Linked DNA regions of Saccharomyces cerevisiae S288C. The protein of the gene in region 1 interacts with the protein of each later gene in a biochemical or structural test. Each region holds a gene or a part of one and is shown on either strand. Other genes may lie near its edges. The genes, in order: PAH1, SPO7, YCK1 and TPK2.

Region 1 (5,779 bases):
AAACACCGAAAACTGCTAATTTCTCGTCTTCGAGAACTCCTCAACTATAATGAAACAGCAAGCGGTCTCAAAAGTCTTTGGCAATAGCAGCGCCTCCTACACTATCTTTGCATGCAATAGAAGGTATCACATTCCTATTTTTCTTGCGATTGAACTCTAACTTGACATCTCTAGGACCCTACAACGATAGCGACTTCTTACATTGTGTTCATTAATTTGAAAAAACATCAAAGCAAGCCGAAAACAAACGCTGAGTATTCTAACGAAGCACGCATAATAATCTTCACTTCCAACCGACTGGTATAAAAGATAATGAACTCATGGAACCTGAGTTCTTCAATACCGATAATACATACGCCTCATGACCATCCCCCGACATCAGAAGGAACTCCAGATCAACCAAATAATAACCGAAAAGATGATAAACTGCACAAAAAAAGAGGCGATTCAGATGAGGACTTAAGCCCTATATGGCATTGTGTCGTCTCCGGTGGGATTGGTGGAAAAATAGGAGATTCTGCGATGCATTCATTGGATACTGTTAAGACAAGACAACAGGGCGCACCCAATGTCAAAAAATACAGGAACATGATCTCTGCATATCGTACCATTTGGCTAGAAGAAGGCGTGAGAAGGGGGCTATACGGCGGTTACATGGCTGCCATGTTAGGCTCCTTCCCGTCAGCGGCAATCTTCTTTGGGACCTATGAATATACTAAGAGAACAATGATAGAAGATTGGCAGATTAACGATACCATCACACATTTGAGCGCTGGATTTCTTGGCGATTTTATCTCCAGTTTTGTTTATGTTCCATCAGAGGTCCTAAAGACAAGGCTACAATTGCAAGGAAGGTTCAATAATCCTTTCTTTCAATCTGGCTATAATTATTCGAATTTAAGAAATGCCATAAAGACAGTTATAAAAGAAGAAGGGTTTCGCTCACTATTTTTTGGATACAAAGCCACTTTAGCCAGAGATTTGCCATTTAGTGCATTGCAGTTTGCCTTCTACGAAAAGTTTAGGCAATTGGCTTTCAAGATTGAACAGAAAGATGGTAGGGATGGTGAGTTGTCTATACCTAATGAAATATTGACTGGTGCCTGTGCAGGTGGACTGGCGGGAATCATTACCACACCAATGGATGTTGTTAAGACTAGAGTCCAAACTCAACAGCCGCCCAGCCAAAGCAACAAATCATACTCAGTAACACATCCACATGTAACAAACGGCAGACCGGCAGCACTTTCCAACTCGATTTCGCTCAGCCTTCGGACGGTCTACCAATCTGAAGGTGTGTTAGGTTTCTTTAGTGGCGTTGGCCCTAGATTCGTCTGGACAAGTGTTCAGAGCAGTATAATGTTGCTTCTGTATCAAATGACCCTACGCGGATTAAGTAACGCATTTCCAACGGACTAAGAGCCTGATTTCTGGCTCATCTAACTCTCTAGAGGATAATTTTATGTGATAAAACTTTTCCTACAAGCGGCTACAATAAAGACAGTACAAGGGACCTCACCCTATTCGCCATCACTGCACATCACAGTGGGTCTTGTACTTATCATTTCACATACATAGATATAGGTTCTTCCGAATAAGTTTTGTATATAGTCATTTACGGCAAGAATACTCATCTAAGTTTAATACGCATTTCTCTCTTCGTTCGCAGTTCCTAACACTGAGCGTTCTTGTTTGGAGGGCTCGTTTAAAAAAAAGTCTAACAAATGTGACAGATTTGCTTGAACAGGGTCCAAACTCATCTTGTATATCATAACACTACATCACTGGGAGACAAAATCGAAGTGCCCACGTGCTGCTCATTCTCTAAACGGTCTGTCGCGGGCCCTTTTCGTCCTTCGGTTTCCCTCCCTTTAGACAATGGGCTCTCTTTTCTCTATTATCTATCTCTTTTTCTCGGCTTTTCCGGCCAGCGTTGAAAGCAGCGCACGGTGAGGGTAGAAGGAAGAGCAAGGACAAGTGAAGAGTAGGCCATCGTGGGGGCTTGTGTTTATAAAGAAAATACATTCAACAATTTAGTAAAACGTGTTCAAGAAGTGTTAATCAGACCAATTGGACACTACACCTTCGTAATCACAGTTTTACCTTCTAAGAAACATACAGGGAAGAAATTACTGAAGATAGACACATCGGTCGATTATGCAGTACGTAGGCAGAGCTCTTGGGTCTGTGTCTAAAACATGGTCTTCTATCAATCCGGCTACGCTATCAGGTGCTATAGATGTCATTGTAGTGGAGCATCCAGACGGAAGGCTATCATGTTCTCCCTTTCATGTGAGGTTCGGCAAATTTCAAATTCTAAAGCCATCTCAAAAGAAAGTCCAAGTGTTTATAAATGAGAAACTGAGTAATATGCCAATGAAACTGAGTGATTCTGGAGAAGCCTATTTCGTTTTCGAGATGGGTGACCAGGTCACTGATGTCCCTGACGAATTGCTTGTGTCGCCCGTGATGAGCGCCACATCAAGCCCCCCTCAATCACCTGAAACATCCATCTTAGAAGGAGGAACCGAGGGTGAAGGTGAAGGTGAAAATGAAAATAAGAAGAAGGAAAAGAAAGTGCTAGAGGAACCAGATTTTTTAGATATCAATGACACTGGAGATTCAGGCAGTAAAAATAGTGAAACTACAGGGTCGCTTTCTCCTACTGAATCCTCTACAACGACACCACCAGATTCAGTTGAAGAGAGGAAGCTTGTTGAGCAGCGTACAAAGAACTTTCAGCAAAAACTAAACAAAAAACTCACTGAAATCCATATACCCAGTAAACTTGATAACAATGGCGACTTACTACTAGACACTGAAGGTTACAAGCCAAACAAGAATATGATGCATGACACAGACATACAACTGAAGCAGTTGTTAAAGGACGAATTCGGTAATGATTCAGATATTTCCAGTTTTATCAAGGAGGACAAAAATGGCAACATCAAGATCGTAAATCCTTACGAGCACCTTACTGATTTATCTCCTCCAGGTACGCCTCCAACAATGGCCACAAGCGGATCAGTTTTAGGCTTAGATGCAATGGAATCAGGAAGTACTTTGAATTCGTTATCTTCTTCACCTTCTGGTTCCGATACTGAGGACGAAACATCATTTAGCAAAGAACAAAGCAGTAAAAGTGAAAAAACTAGCAAGAAAGGAACAGCAGGGAGCGGTGAGACCGAGAAAAGATACATACGAACGATAAGATTGACTAATGACCAGTTAAAGTGCCTAAATTTAACTTATGGTGAAAATGATCTGAAATTTTCCGTAGATCACGGAAAAGCTATTGTTACGTCAAAATTATTCGTTTGGAGGTGGGATGTTCCAATTGTTATCAGTGATATTGATGGCACCATCACAAAATCGGACGCTTTAGGCCATGTTCTGGCAATGATAGGAAAAGACTGGACGCACTTGGGTGTAGCCAAGTTATTTAGCGAGATCTCCAGGAATGGCTATAATATACTCTATCTAACTGCAAGAAGTGCTGGACAAGCTGATTCCACGAGGAGTTATTTGCGATCAATTGAACAGAATGGCAGCAAACTACCAAATGGGCCTGTGATTTTATCACCCGATAGAACGATGGCTGCGTTAAGGCGGGAAGTAATACTAAAAAAACCTGAAGTCTTTAAAATCGCGTGTCTAAACGACATAAGATCCTTGTATTTTGAAGACAGTGATAACGAAGTGGATACAGAGGAAAAATCAACACCATTTTTTGCCGGCTTTGGTAATAGGATTACTGATGCTTTATCTTACAGAACTGTGGGGATACCTAGTTCAAGAATTTTCACAATAAATACAGAGGGTGAGGTTCATATGGAATTATTGGAGTTAGCAGGTTACAGAAGCTCCTATATTCATATCAATGAGCTTGTCGATCATTTCTTTCCACCAGTCAGCCTTGATAGTGTCGATCTAAGAACTAATACTTCCATGGTTCCTGGCTCCCCCCCTAATAGAACGTTGGATAACTTTGACTCAGAAATTACTTCAGGTCGCAAAACGCTATTTAGAGGCAATCAGGAAGAGAAATTCACAGACGTAAATTTTTGGAGAGACCCGTTAGTCGACATCGACAACTTATCGGATATTAGCAATGATGATTCTGATAACATCGATGAAGATACTGACGTATCACAACAAAGCAACATTAGTAGAAATAGGGCAAATTCAGTCAAAACCGCCAAGGTCACTAAAGCCCCGCAAAGAAATGTGAGCGGCAGCACAAATAACAACGAAGTTTTAGCCGCTTCGTCTGATGTAGAAAATGCGTCTGACCTGGTGAGTTCCCATAGTAGCTCAGGATCCACGCCCAATAAATCTACAATGTCCAAAGGGGACATTGGAAAACAAATATATTTGGAGCTAGGTTCTCCACTTGCATCGCCAAAACTAAGATATTTAGACGATATGGATGATGAAGACTCCAATTACAATAGAACTAAATCAAGGAGAGCATCTTCTGCAGCCGCGACTAGTATCGATAAAGAGTTCAAAAAGCTCTCTGTGTCAAAGGCCGGCGCTCCAACAAGAATTGTTTCAAAGATCAACGTTTCAAATGACGTACATTCACTTGGGAATTCAGATACCGAATCACGAAGGGAGCAAAGTGTTAATGAAACAGGGCGCAATCAGCTACCCCACAACTCAATGGACGATAAAGATTTGGATTCAAGAGTAAGCGATGAATTCGATGACGATGAATTCGACGAAGATGAATTCGAAGATTAAAGATTCTTGTAGCCGAATATTATTTATAACGATCCATACTGCATATTAAGTAAAATTATGAAGTACTAAGTAACAATTTTTCAATTTTATTTAAGAAAAGAGAAGGAAAAAAAAAAGAAGAAAATTTTTTGATAGAAGAAAAAGGTAAACGATGATTGTTACGTACCAAGTGTTCTTCTGAGCTATTTGGTAATTACATACTTCTTCGAAATGTCAAGGTAAATACTTTTCTATACGCACACGAAACTCGCTTGCTGCAACAGGTATTACGTCAGGTGAAAAAAGCGGCCAAGAGGCAATGCCGAAATACAATGCGTGTATAACAGGAAGAGGAGGGGTATAATAAAATCACCATAGTAGAAAAGACCAGAAAGATTTCTATTGCAATCCTGTGTGACTCTTTTGGTTTTTCCCTTTGGTATCTCCCGGTTCTTTTGTCAATTTTTCGTTAAACTGCAGTGAAATAAGAAAAAGGTGCATGATAAAGATATGGATAACACGACCAATATTAATACAAATGAGCGCTCTAGTAACACGGATTTTAGCTCAGCTCCCAATATCAAAGGTTTGAATAGCCATACTCAGTTGCAGTTTGATGCGGATTCTCGAGTTTTCGTTTCGGATGTAATGGCTAAGAACTCTAAGCAATTATTGTACGCCCATATTTATAACTATTTAATCAAAAACAATTACTGGAACTCTGCCGCAAAATTTTTAAGCGAAGCTGACCTTCCTTTATCTAGAATAAACGGATCTGCTTCGGGTGGGAAAACTAGCTTGAACGCCAGCCTGAAGCAGGGATTAATGGATATTGCATCTAAGGGTGACATTGTTAGTGAAGATGGGCTATTACCTTCGAAAATGCTGATGGACGCTAATGACACGTTTTTACTGGAATGGTGGGAAATTTTTCAATCATTGTTCAATGGAGACCTAGAATCTGGGTACCAACAGGATCATAATCCTTTAAGAGAGAGAATAATACCAATTTTGCCAGCTAATTCTAAATCTAATATGCCTTCCCATTTCTCTA
Region 2 (3,579 bases), on another chromosome or scaffold:
AGCCAGAGAATGGAGAAACATGTCTACCGTCAATTCCACCGAATCAAGGTTGACTTGGTTATCTATATTGATTATCATTATCATTGCCGTTATAAGTATTGCCCAAGTTCTACTTATTCAATTCCTCTTCACTGGTCGTCAAAAAAATTACGTTTAAGAACTTTTCAATCTACGAAAAATATATGTCCGCAATATAGAACACAATTAGGTTTATATTCGACGTGATTTTTTTTTCTTCCTTAGCCCTATGTATATTTACTGTATAGGATAAATGAAATACCAAAAATAAAAAAGTATAAAACGAAAGAATATAACCCTCGTTTATATCTGGTCATTTGTCTTGCTCATTTGTTAGCATTTAAACTTGCTAATACGAAACTCAATGTAAAGAATACTTTAAAACCCATGTATTCTGTACCCAATAACCCATCAATAAGCAGTTTCTTCAAGTCTACATCTTTCAAAACAATTACAGATTTGATATTTTTCAAATTAATGCGAATCCATCCCTTGTACCGTAACCATTCACAAAGAAGCATGCTTGTAATACCGACATACATAAACAAAATTGATATCTTAGCCACCGTAACTCCTAAAACAACACCGAATAATGATCCCAAAAACATCTGCTTGTGACTACTTATTTTGTTCCTCCTTTCCTCGGTAATTGCCGTACTGTTGCCCACAGTTGGTTCCAAGGGACCCTGTTGTTTGACAGCTGCCCCTAAAGAATCATTGAATATCAACTTAGAAGGCTGGCGATTCATCAAGTAAAAGCCACCAGCAACTATGCCAGCACCGCCTAACCCTACAGAGCGAGTTAAGGGCTTTCCTAATTTATTGGCGACATTAAACCTCCATAAGGGGACGTTCTTGAACATGCGCTTCCCAACATTCAAATTACGAAACACCAACCGTTGCATATTAAAAGCCAAAGTCATTTTACACCTATTATTTTAAGTTCTTCCTTCTTGCCCCTCTAGCGTTATGCTGTTGTATGTATAATAAGATGCCTTGTTTAACCAATTTCAACAACCCCTAGGTTTTCTAGCACTTGTTGGAAAACTTAAATATGAAATGACGGATTTGTAAAATTTTCACGACACAACAGCTTCACTTCTAATAATGTATAAAATATAATTTATGTGTGAACATAGATGGTTACAATTTTACATAGGTAAATATGACCTCTTATTCGAAGGAAGAAGCCCTCCAACTCTTTCATTCTGATTTAGGTCGGAGTTCGTGCGCTTGTTTGCGTCTTCTAGCACCTTCCCTGGCCCAAAACTCGTCTCTATAAATCTCCCATCCTTCTCTAATCTCTGCACTAAATGCTCTGGGGTTGAGGACTAATTTCACATCCACAGCTCCGATCCTCGGTTGGGATTGTATCGTGACACTTTTCCAAAATTTCACAATGGCATTATCGTCTTTAAGCCACAGAAATTTTTTCAAACAATAAATATTACAATAAGCAATTGTTCGACTCACAAATCTTACTGAATCTGTGTATTTCTCGTCCCACGTAGACTGTACTTTAACTAGCTTCACATTAAACTGCCTAATCCCTTTATTAGTAGAGGTAAAAAATCTTCTTGGAATGACGATAGTTCTTCTATATTGTCCACTGATATGAAAAAGAACTACAGTAATGGAAATGAAAGAAAGAGTGAATTGCAAAATAACCCTATGGAGGCCCTTGACATAATCTGAAGTGAAATAAAGTTCGTAGAAGGTAAATGCGCCTACACCGGCCATAGACGCTAAGAACAAAGTGAATTGCCACTTCAGTATCTTTTGTTCGTGAGCTTGGCGTCTTAAATCATCCTCCAGTATCAACAAATTCCTGAAAATCATCGATGCTGGAGAGATATTACTGGAGTTCCGTATATTCTTCGCACTGGATGTCTTGCTAGTAGAACGCCTGCGAGGCCCGGACACTATACTGGCACTATCATCCTGGGCATGGTTCCCCACATCGCCTATGCTCTCTGGCTCCATGACCTCCTTTATTTAGCTTTCCACTACCTTTCTTCCTTTGTGTGTATAATCAATAGATTTTCGCTAAATTTCGCATCTTCCCTTTTAAGAATAATTAGTATTTAATTTTACTTTGACTTTATTGTTGAGTGAAGAAACAAAGCAAATATACGTTAGGAAAAAGACACGAACAGAGAAGACCGATCTTGATGCTACCCTATATGGACCAAGTACTAAGGGCATTTTATCAGAGCACCCATTGGAGTACGCAAAATAGCTACGAGGATATAACGGCCACATCGAGAACATTATTAGATTTCCGAATTCCCTCAGCAATACACCTGCAAATTTCCAACAAATCTACTCCCAATACATTCAATTCTTTAGATTTTTCTACGAGGTCCAGGATAAATGGTTCTCTGAGTTATTTATACTCCGATGCACAGCAATTGGAGAAATTCATGCGCAACTCTACTGATATCCCATTACAAGATGCCACCGAAACATACAGACAATTGCAACCAAACCTCAATTTCAGTGTTAGTAGTGCGAATACGTTGAGTAGTGACAACACCACAGTCGACAATGACAAGAAATTACTACATGACTCGAAATTTGTTAAAAAATCCCTTTATTATGGTAGAATGTACTACCCCAGCTCTGATTTAGAAGCAATGATAATAAAACGACTAAGTCCACAAACCCAATTTATGCTTAAGGGTGTCAGTAGTTTCAAAGAAAGCTTAAACGTTTTAACGTGCTATTTTCAAAGAGATTCTCACCGCAATTTACAGGAGTGGATATTTTCCACCAGTGATCTATTATGTGGTTATAGAGTATTACACAATTTCCTTACCACGCCTTCCAAGTTTAACACCTCACTGTACAATAATTCTTCGTTGTCGCTTGGTGCTGAATTTTGGTTAGGGTTAGTAAGTTTAAGCCCCGGTTGTTCGACAACTTTAAGATATTACACACATTCTACAAACACAGGACGACCACTAACTTTGACATTATCTTGGAATCCATTATTCGGCCATATATCCTCCACATATTCGGCCAAGACAGGGACAAATTCTACTTTTTGCGCGAAGTATGATTTTAATCTTTATTCGATTGAATCAAATCTTTCATTTGGGTGCGAATTTTGGCAAAAAAAGCATCATTTGCTTGAAACCAATAAAAACAATAATGATAAATTAGAACCAATCTCCGACGAATTGGTTGATATAAATCCAAACAGCAGAGCGACTAAACTACTGCACGAAAATGTACCGGATCTGAATTCAGCTGTTAACGATATTCCTTCTACACTAGATATACCTGTTCACAAACAAAAGCTATTAAATGATTTAACTTATGCATTCTCGTCGTCATTAAGAAAAATCGATGAAGAAAGATCTACCATCGAAAAATTTGATAACAAAATAAATAGTTCCATTTTTACCAGTGTTTGGAAATTAAGCACGTCATTACGTGACAAGACTTTAAAACTATTATGGGAAGGCAAATGGAGGGGATTTTTAATATCTGCCGGGACAGAGCTGGTATTCACTAGAGGCTTTCAAGAAAGTTTATCCGATGATGAAAAGAATGATA
Region 3 (4,604 bases), on another chromosome or scaffold:
TGCCTTTATTGTAGAATAAACAATAGCTTGTGAGGTACCACTGGGGGCCCTTGTAGTAATGTCGGCCAAATCCAAGATTTTTTGCAAAAGGAATTTATTAGCAACGATGAAGGATAACCTTAATCCAGGAGCAAAAATTTTAGAAAAAGTCTCCAAACGGATGACACGGGCATCTGTATCCAAAGTCAAGAATGATTTCATTAAAAAATCATTCAAATACCGTTCAGTAGTCAGGTCGCTAGAATGGTAAGGGTTTTCTAATGGCTCTTGCGGATTATAGGAAGGAAAGTACAGATAACCGTAGGGATCATCTTCAACAATGAGGAAATCGTGTCTTTGGGCCAACTGGTAAATTTTCTCTCTTTTCCACTGGGGGACAGACATCCCGGTAGGATTTTGGCCCGTTGCAATGGTATATAGGACCCTTGGCTTGTTTAAGTCTTTGTATGGTCCAGTTGACCAATTATCGAGCAACTGCGTTAGATATTCGACATCAATACCCTGGGACTCTCTGTCGAAGGTCAGGTTCATCTTGATGGGGATGACTTTTGCTCCTGTAGCCTCCACATTGGACATAGCCGGGGTGAAAGTAAACTCTTCAATCATCACAGTGGTCGATTCGTCGCAAATTGTTTCAAAAACCTTAAACATTGAATCGTTGGACCCGCCAGAAAGGATGACATCCCAGTTAGACTCCGTCTCATCGGAAAAGGCTGGGCGATTAATTCTGGACACAAAATCTTTAACAAAATGTAAGAGAGGGGGTAAACCCTTGGTTTCTGCATATTGGAAAGAACGTGCAATGGGTAGCTCACTGGGGGATCCCAAGTCCAAATGCGCCGTGGTAAACGAATTATGCCATTTTGGGTTATCATTAAAAGGAACTTTTGATATTTTCAAATCCATAGATTCGATAGGAAAAAATCTCTCGTTTGGCATTCCACCAGCTAGCTCAATGACGTCATCTGAGATATCAGAAGCATCCCAAAAGCTTTTCAGAGATCTATTTTCTACTCTTCTGGAGAGAAACGGTTGGAAGTTCTTCTTTAAGGAAGTGTAATCAACAGGGGGGGCAGAACCAGCAGTCATTGAGTCGATGAGAGAGTGTAATTGTGGTATGTGTGTATTTTTATGTTTACACTGGGATATTACAAGACCAAATCAAGCTTTTTCCTTTATATATATCAAATATTTATAATGTTTCCTACCCCAATGATGGTTCGGTTATCCGCGGCAAATCTCGGTAAGCATCGGCAATGCTTCCGCGAGTTACCGCTTTTTTTTTTTTATTCCTTTGTTATTATCTACGGCCGTCGGCGGCAATAGTATTTTTGCTCACGTGACCGACAAGGGTCCATTTTATTGCGGTACGGCTCTCTCTTTTTTTTTTTCTCCTCTTCAACTTCTCTCTGATTGCAAACAATATATAACATAACCATGTTCATTACGTACGAAAATATATATACATAAATGCATGGCAGTTATGGCAATTACAACTACAACGCCGTAAAGTTCCAAACGCAGCGGCCTGAGATAGTAAATGATGTACGCACGTGGGCGAAAGTTCATTACTTTGACTGTTGTAACATACCGTATCTCTCTTTTCCCACGTGCTCCGCTCTCTTATCTACCTTGGCGGTACAGCCCTGCGCGGAGTCACTGCAGCCACGTGCCTAGATCTATTACTATGACTTCCCATGGGCACATATACGCCATTAATATACAATATATATAACGTTCATATATGGGTATTTACAGAGAGCCAGGGGCAAATTGGACAGATGTCTCCACGCGGCAAAATGGAAACAGCAGTTTCACAAGGACAACACAAACAACTTAAAGATGGTCACCAGCATAAGGGAAGAAAACTCTCCGAGGAGATCGCTTCTCTATTGAGGCTCAAAGAGTGCAGGAGGCTCAATCCTGCTAGTTACTATACTCCACGTAGAACATCGCAGTCACAATCTCTCAGTGGATCAACTTTTAAAGAGTATAACGAGTACATTAATGAGAAAGATTCAAGTAGAGCGCAGCGTCAAAACGCTGCCGCCGTTTTAAGCAAGCTCGCCCATGACTTTTGGGAGAACGACTGTGTCATTGACGAAGACATATTCGAAGATTCGTCTGACGAAGAACAATCATGATTGCATCTCTTAATCGTTACACATACATACCTTCTACCTCTGTACTGTTACATATGCATTGACTTTACGATCTAATATAAATCCTTTTGATGTTACCCCGCCTGTGGGCTCGTTCTCCTTTCGTTTCTTACGATTTTTTCGCCGGAACAAGAAAAAACAGAACAAAACAAATCAGCGATCGTATACATGGGTCTTTGATTTCTGCTTGCTTCTTACAAACAACAAACGCAAACCGTTCATTGAGTGCTCTGTGACTGGTTTTCATGTGGATGCCATAGTAGAGAAAAGACACATACAAAAATTTCGCGCATTCGCTGGCCCTTTTCCTGCTCTCCTCTTCCCCATGTCCATGCCCATAGCAAGTACCACTCTAGCAGTTAACAACCTCACCAATATAAACGGAAACGCAAATTTTAACGTACAAGCAAACAAACAACTCCACCACCAGGCTGTCGACTCGCCCGCAAGATCTTCGATGACCGCCACGACCGCCGCCAACTCCAACAGCAACTCTTCCAGAGATGACTCTACTATTGTCGGCCTACATTACAAGATCGGCAAAAAAATAGGGGAAGGTTCCTTTGGTGTGCTATTTGAAGGTACTAATATGATCAATGGCGTACCCGTCGCGATCAAATTCGAGCCCAGAAAAACGGAGGCCCCTCAATTAAGAGATGAATATAAAACATATAAAATTCTGAATGGCACTCCCAATATCCCCTACGCGTACTACTTCGGCCAAGAAGGTTTGCACAATATCTTGGTCATTGATCTTTTGGGTCCCTCTTTGGAAGATTTATTTGATTGGTGTGGAAGAAAATTTTCTGTCAAAACGGTTGTGCAAGTTGCTGTCCAAATGATTACTTTGATTGAAGACTTGCACGCACATGACTTGATATACCGTGATATCAAACCAGACAATTTCTTGATTGGAAGGCCCGGCCAACCTGACGCAAACAACATCCATTTGATCGACTTCGGTATGGCCAAACAGTATCGTGATCCGAAAACTAAACAGCACATCCCATATAGAGAGAAAAAATCACTCAGCGGCACTGCCAGATATATGTCCATTAATACTCACCTTGGAAGAGAGCAGTCCAGAAGAGATGATATGGAGGCCTTGGGTCACGTTTTCTTTTATTTCTTGAGAGGCCACTTACCCTGGCAGGGTTTAAAAGCTCCAAACAATAAGCAAAAATACGAAAAGATTGGTGAAAAGAAAAGATCTACTAACGTTTACGATCTAGCTCAAGGCTTACCTGTGCAATTTGGCAGGTATCTAGAAATCGTCAGAAGTCTTTCCTTTGAAGAGTGTCCCGATTATGAAGGCTATAGAAAACTATTACTATCTGTACTGGATGATTTAGGTGAAACCGCGGACGGCCAATATGATTGGATGAAACTGAACGATGGCCGTGGTTGGGATCTTAACATAAACAAGAAGCCAAATCTCCACGGATACGGCCATCCAAATCCACCAAACGAAAAATCGAGAAAACATAGAAACAAACAGCTCCAAATGCAACAGCTCCAAATGCAACAGCTCCAACAACAGCAACAGCAACAGCAATATGCTCAAAAAACTGAGGCAGATATGCGCAATTCTCAATATAAACCAAAGTTAGACCCTACTTCTTATGAAGCTTACCAGCATCAAACCCAGCAGAAATACCTGCAAGAACAACAAAAGAGACAGCAGCAACAAAAACTTCAGGAGCAACAACTTCAAGAGCAACAATTGCAACAGCAGCAACAGCAACAGCAACAGCTACGTGCAACAGGCCAACCTCCATCTCAGCCTCAAGCGCAAACTCAATCTCAGCAGTTTGGCGCTCGTTATCAACCACAACAACAACCTTCTGCTGCTTTAAGAACTCCTGAACAGCACCCAAATGACGATAATTCAAGTCTAGCTGCTTCTCATAAGGGCTTTTTCCAAAAATTAGGTTGTTGCTAAATATAGAAATGACATTTTTTGCAAGACTACCGTCTTTCTTACATTTTTTGTAATGTGAATATATCTGTATACTTTACAACCGAAACGACATTTACCATACTTATAATTTTCGAGTTCTTCGCTGTGGACAAGAGATTAAGTGAGATCAATAACTTCGATAAGAGTATCTCCCGGGAGTACCTCGTCATCATCATCAAGGATTACAACTTCTAAGGAGCTGCTAATATTATCACTTATTATTTGATCTTTGTTATTCTTCGTCTCTCCGCACCAGCGATCATCTCTATATCTCCTTTCGGCTGCAAAAGCCGCCAACTCTCTCGGGGAATTACCTCTATCTATAGATGATATACCCTCTGGATGCAAACTCCCTAACTTCACACCTTTGCCCCTTTTTCTCACTATCCCTGTGTTAGTACTTATTCCTGTCATAGGATATCTATTTGAACGTAAGTTTGCTCTTCCACCGAGACGTTGACCGTTCCCCAAAAATGTGTCGT
Region 4 (4,320 bases), on another chromosome or scaffold:
GTTGAAAACGAAGTTGGATGCGGATCTACATGATACCGGATTTTTAGACAATTTCAAAACGCGGAATTCCTGTGTAAAGATAGAGAAAGAAGATTCTTTAACGAACTTAAACGAAATTGATTTTACGAACATGTTTTGCAACGACAATTTCATCCAAAATTACAACCAAGGCCTGATGGAACTTTTGACAGAACCTACACCAGGTCCTTCGTCCTCTTCTTGTATACTTCCTTCAACACCAACGAGGCCCTTGTCACAAAGCAAAATGGATATAGCCCTGTCAGAATCAACAACATCTTCACCAAATTTTATGGAAACAGACGCTCCTTATGGAGATGAGATCATTAAAGTTTCCAAAGATACCAAAAGCAACGCACCAACTGCTGATACAGATATTGCTACGAACTTAGGCAAAGAGAGAAACGAAAATTTTGGCATGTTAAACTACAACTACGAAGCGTTGCTTCATTTCAACGATGAGCATTTTAATGAATTAAATTCTATTGACCCAGCCTTAATATCAAAATATTAATTATTTAGTTTTCAACTCATTAAAACGGTATCACGTTTAAATATGTGACAAGATCTGATGGACATGAATAATGGTGATATCAGCACCATCGAGGGATTTTGGACCTTAGACTTTTTAAAGCTACGGAGGACTTAAAGCATGTCGATACAAATAAGATATATCATGGCTTCATGCGCTCAAAAGTTTTATTCTTCAAGTTTGTTGATTATAATATGGTTCACGTGCGCTTCATCTTTTCATAGGTAATGCACCGCAACATTCAATTATCTAAAAAACTTTCAGGCGTGCCGGTCCCCTAATTTTTGCACTGAGATCATGAGATCAGTAAGTAAAAGCTCATATAGGAAATAATCATATAGAAAAAAGCAGAGGAATGATATTCGAACATTTTCTATACATCACCCCTCCTATTTTTAGATGAATCTCTAAGATCTAAATGCCCTCAACTTAAATATGATATTGAATTAAAATGAATTGTAGTATAGAAGATATTTAGGGCAACGCTTGTTCTTCTCATCTCTTTTTCTTTTTTTACAATATGAACTAGCTTAAAACAGACCACAAATAAGGCATCCGTTAGGTAAAATATAAAGAAAGTGCGCCAGATTTTGGTGGAGGAAAAAAGAGAAAGGAAAAGGAGTGAGAGAAAGTACTTGAAAATTGTTTTTGTGTTTTTTGGTTCATGGAACTTAGAAATCTTGAAAGTATTCAGCATATGGATCATCGCCTTGAATACCATAATCTAGCTGCTCCTCGGGATATTGATCGAATAAAGACGTGTCACCGATACCTGATGTGATAGGAGGCTCGTATGGAGTTTCAATATCCTTTGCTAACAATCTTTCCCATACAACTTCACTAAACCATGGGTGAGCTTTGATGTCCCTGGAACCGCTTTGTAAATTACCGATTCTTCTTGTCAAATCTGCAGTGATCAGTTTGCTTAGTAGATCCACGACGTCGGGATGAAAATATGGTGGATATACTACTTTACCTTGTAAAATCTTTTCATACGTCTTCATTGGAGTAGTATCGTAAAAGGGTGTATAACCAGCTAACATTTCGTAGATTAGAACACCTAGAGACCACCAATCCACCGACTTATTATATGGCTTTGTGGTAATAACTTCAGGAGCAATGTAATCAGGAGTCCCACAAAGCGTCCATGTGACAGTTTGTACCTCTTTGGCGAACCCAAAATCGGTTATTTTAATGTGGCCATTTCTATCCAGCAAGATATTTTCTGGCTTTAAATCCCTGTAGATGATATTATGAGCATGCAAGTACTCTAATGCCAGTATGACTTCCGCAGCGTAAAATTTTGCTACAGGATTAGGAAATCTTTGTGACTTTCTCAGTAACGAGAAAAGTTCACCACCTTCGATATAATCCATCACCATAAAGATATTCCTAGCATCTTGAAACGTACCCCACATTCTAATCAGAAACGGATGCTCCACAAGCTTTAGCATACGTCGTTCGTCATTGGTATGTTCAACCTGTTTCATCTTGACAACTTGTTGTTTCTTTAAAACTTTTATAGCATAATACCGACCATTGTGAACAGAGCGCACCAAATGAACCCTACCAAAAGATCCAGTACCAAGCGTTCTCATAATCTGGAAGTCATGTAGTGTATATTTGCCTTTGGATACGAGAGATTTCTGGGGCAACTGAGACGTCAGCAGTTGTTGATGCTGACGCTGCTGTTGTTGTTGTTGTCGCTGCTGTAAATCATGATGCGGTTGTAGGACGCCTTGCCCGTAAGTATTAACATTTTGCTGCTGGATTGTTTGACCAACTGGCTGAGCCCTTTCTGCAACGAATTCCATACCGACAATTTTCAACAGTATGTGAGTTAACCTGAGTGAAGCTGCTGTTTGTGCCGGCTGTATATTTGCACAAACTTCCTTGGTATTCCGTCGTTATCGTCTCGTGATTGTTTCCTAATCAGACACTATAAGGCAAGTTAATTATCGAAAATACGAATTGATGCTGTCTTCTCAGAGGCCCTCCTTTAAAACCGTCCAATATTCGTGATTGATCTTCGATCGTTAGCCCTTTATTACATAAAAAAAAAACAAATTGGCCAAGAGGTGCTCCGCTCCCCCTTAATTTCCTTCCCGAAGAAAAAAATGCATAAAAAAAGTGGTTCTTTTAGCTATCATCTTTTTAGGTAAGAAGGCCAGAATTGTATATATTAACTCGATATGGAATTGTGTGTACGTATATGTAAATAATAATAATAATATATATATATATATGTGTGTGTGTATGTCTATATATACATATGTTTATTTTTGTGCGTTTTGAGCAATATATGTTGCTTACAACCAAATTGACTGGCCAGCTGGTTTATCTTGAGGCGGCTGTTGTGGATTAGATCTCATTTGTGGAGGTACAGATGCTTGATTAGTATTAAAATTATTGCTGTTTATTTGTGGGGGATACTGAGTAGCCCTGGTTGTAGCCATCGGAACTTGCTGCTGTTGCTCCTGAGAATCTCTTTGTTGCTGCTGTAGTAACGGTTCAGGATAATAATTTGGTCTTTGGCCATTTGGTTGCTGCTGTAGCTGTTGGGGCTGTGGTTGTGGCTGCGAACTTTGGACCTGCTGCTGCGGCTGCTGTTGTCTCAAGTTTTCCATACCTTTATCTAGTGCGTTCAATAATTCCTCTGGTAAAGAAGAGGCTGCATTATTATTCAAGATAGTTTGTTGTTTGATCTCTTCTGGTGAAGGATTATGTTTGTCTTCATTCTTGTAATAGTGGAAATGGGTGGGGAATTTCTTCATGGCTAACAGTTTAATCTTGTTGAAAGTTTCAGACTTGTTGTCTGTGCTGTTACTTGCACTTGCTGCATTGCTATTTGCGTTCAAATCACCTTTTTCGATGAGGAGGTCCCTTTGCTTCTCCACCATCGCCTTTGTGTAACGCAACATTGTCCAATCGAACAAGTGGTCGTTGTGATACTCTAGTTTAATACTCAGATCTTTAAACAGCCTTGCCAAGAACAAATAATCTGGCTTCTCATCGAATTTCAAATTCTTACAGTAAGCCATATATTCTTGAAACTCTAATGGTAAACCTGAACATAGAGTTTCCACGCTAACGTTTAATTTCTTTTCCATGATACGATCATACTTTTGTTTCTTGGTGGTTGCTTTCAAACCCTGCCATGGCAAAGAACCCTTACAAAAATAGATCAAGACATAACCTAGTGATTCTAAGTCATCTCTTCTACTTTGCTCTATTCCAAGATGCGTATTGACACTTGCATAACGAGCTGTACCTGTCAAGGACTTGTTCTCCCTGTAAGGAATATGACGATGTGTGTTGAAATCTCGGTATTTCTTTGATAGACCGAAATCAATAACATGAACGGTGCTACCACGGCGTCCTACCCCCATTAAAAAGTTGTCTGGTTTGATATCTCTATGAATGAACGACCTTCCATGTATATACTGAATACGGCAAAACATTTGCAAAGCCAGCATGATAACCGTCTTAAAGGAGAACCTTCTGTGACAGTAGTTGAATAAATCTTCCAAAGATGGGCCTAGAAGATCGATGACCATAGCATTATATTCACCCTCTCTGCCAAACCATCTGATGAACGGGATTCCCACACCACCGCTTAAGTATCTGTAGACGCGGGACTCATAGTCCAATTGAGGATGTCTGGACCTGATCGATTCCAGCTTGATGGCTACTTCTTCACCACTAATTAAGTTCGTGCCGTGGTAAATGTCACCAAAGGAACCACTCCCAATCTTCCTGCCAATACGAAA

The links.
Region 2: of the proteins of PAH1 (region 1) and SPO7, one has a biochemical effect on the other in vitro, tested with the Saccharomyces cerevisiae proteins (2 studies listed by BioGRID, with this or other methods).
Region 3: of the proteins of PAH1 (region 1) and YCK1, one has a biochemical effect on the other in vitro, tested with the Saccharomyces cerevisiae proteins (2 studies listed by BioGRID).
Region 4: of the proteins of PAH1 (region 1) and TPK2, one has a biochemical effect on the other in vitro, tested with the Saccharomyces cerevisiae proteins (one study listed by BioGRID).

The regions. Positions count from the first base shown.
Region 1 is NC_001145.3:589,007-594,785, reverse strand, and holds PAH1 (phosphatidate phosphatase PAH1), read left to right. Parts: upstream 1-2,157; coding exon 2,158-4,746; downstream 4,747-5,779. Other genes in the region: MME1 (Mme1p), read left to right, coding at 313-1,419; MSS11 (Mss11p), read left to right, coding at 5,236-5,779. UniProt on the Saccharomyces cerevisiae protein: Mg(2+)-dependent phosphatidate (PA) phosphatase which catalyzes the dephosphorylation of PA to yield diacylglycerol. Required for de novo lipid synthesis and formation of lipid droplets.
Region 2 is NC_001133.9:134,276-137,854, reverse strand, and holds SPO7 (Nem1-Spo7 phosphatase regulatory subunit SPO7), read right to left. Parts: upstream 2,002-3,579; coding exon 1,222-2,001; downstream 1-1,221. Other genes in the region: ERP2 (Erp2p), read left to right, coding at 1-157; FUN14 (Fun14p), read right to left, coding at 345-941; MDM10 (Mdm10p), read left to right, coding at 2,190-3,579. UniProt on the Saccharomyces cerevisiae protein: Regulatory component of the NEM1-SPO7 complex which acts as a phosphatase and dephosphorylates the phosphatidic acid phosphohydrolase PAH1. Essential for the formation of a spherical nucleus and meiotic division.
Region 3 is NC_001140.6:372,194-376,797, reverse strand, and holds YCK1 (serine/threonine protein kinase YCK1), read left to right. Parts: upstream 1-2,487; coding exon 2,488-4,104; downstream 4,105-4,604. Other genes in the region: ARO9 (aromatic-amino-acid:2-oxoglutarate transaminase), read right to left, coding at 1-1,089; SPL2 (Spl2p), read left to right, coding at 1,698-2,144; metalloendopeptidase WSS1, read right to left, coding at 4,240-4,604. UniProt on the Saccharomyces cerevisiae protein: Casein kinases are operationally defined by their preferential utilization of acidic proteins such as caseins as substrates.
Region 4 is NC_001148.4:164,300-168,619, reverse strand, and holds TPK2 (cAMP-dependent protein kinase catalytic subunit TPK2), read right to left. Parts: upstream 2,365-4,320; coding exon 1,222-2,364; downstream 1-1,221. Other genes in the region: AFT2 (Aft2p), read left to right, coding at 1-532; serine/threonine protein kinase HRR25, read right to left, coding at 2,860-4,320.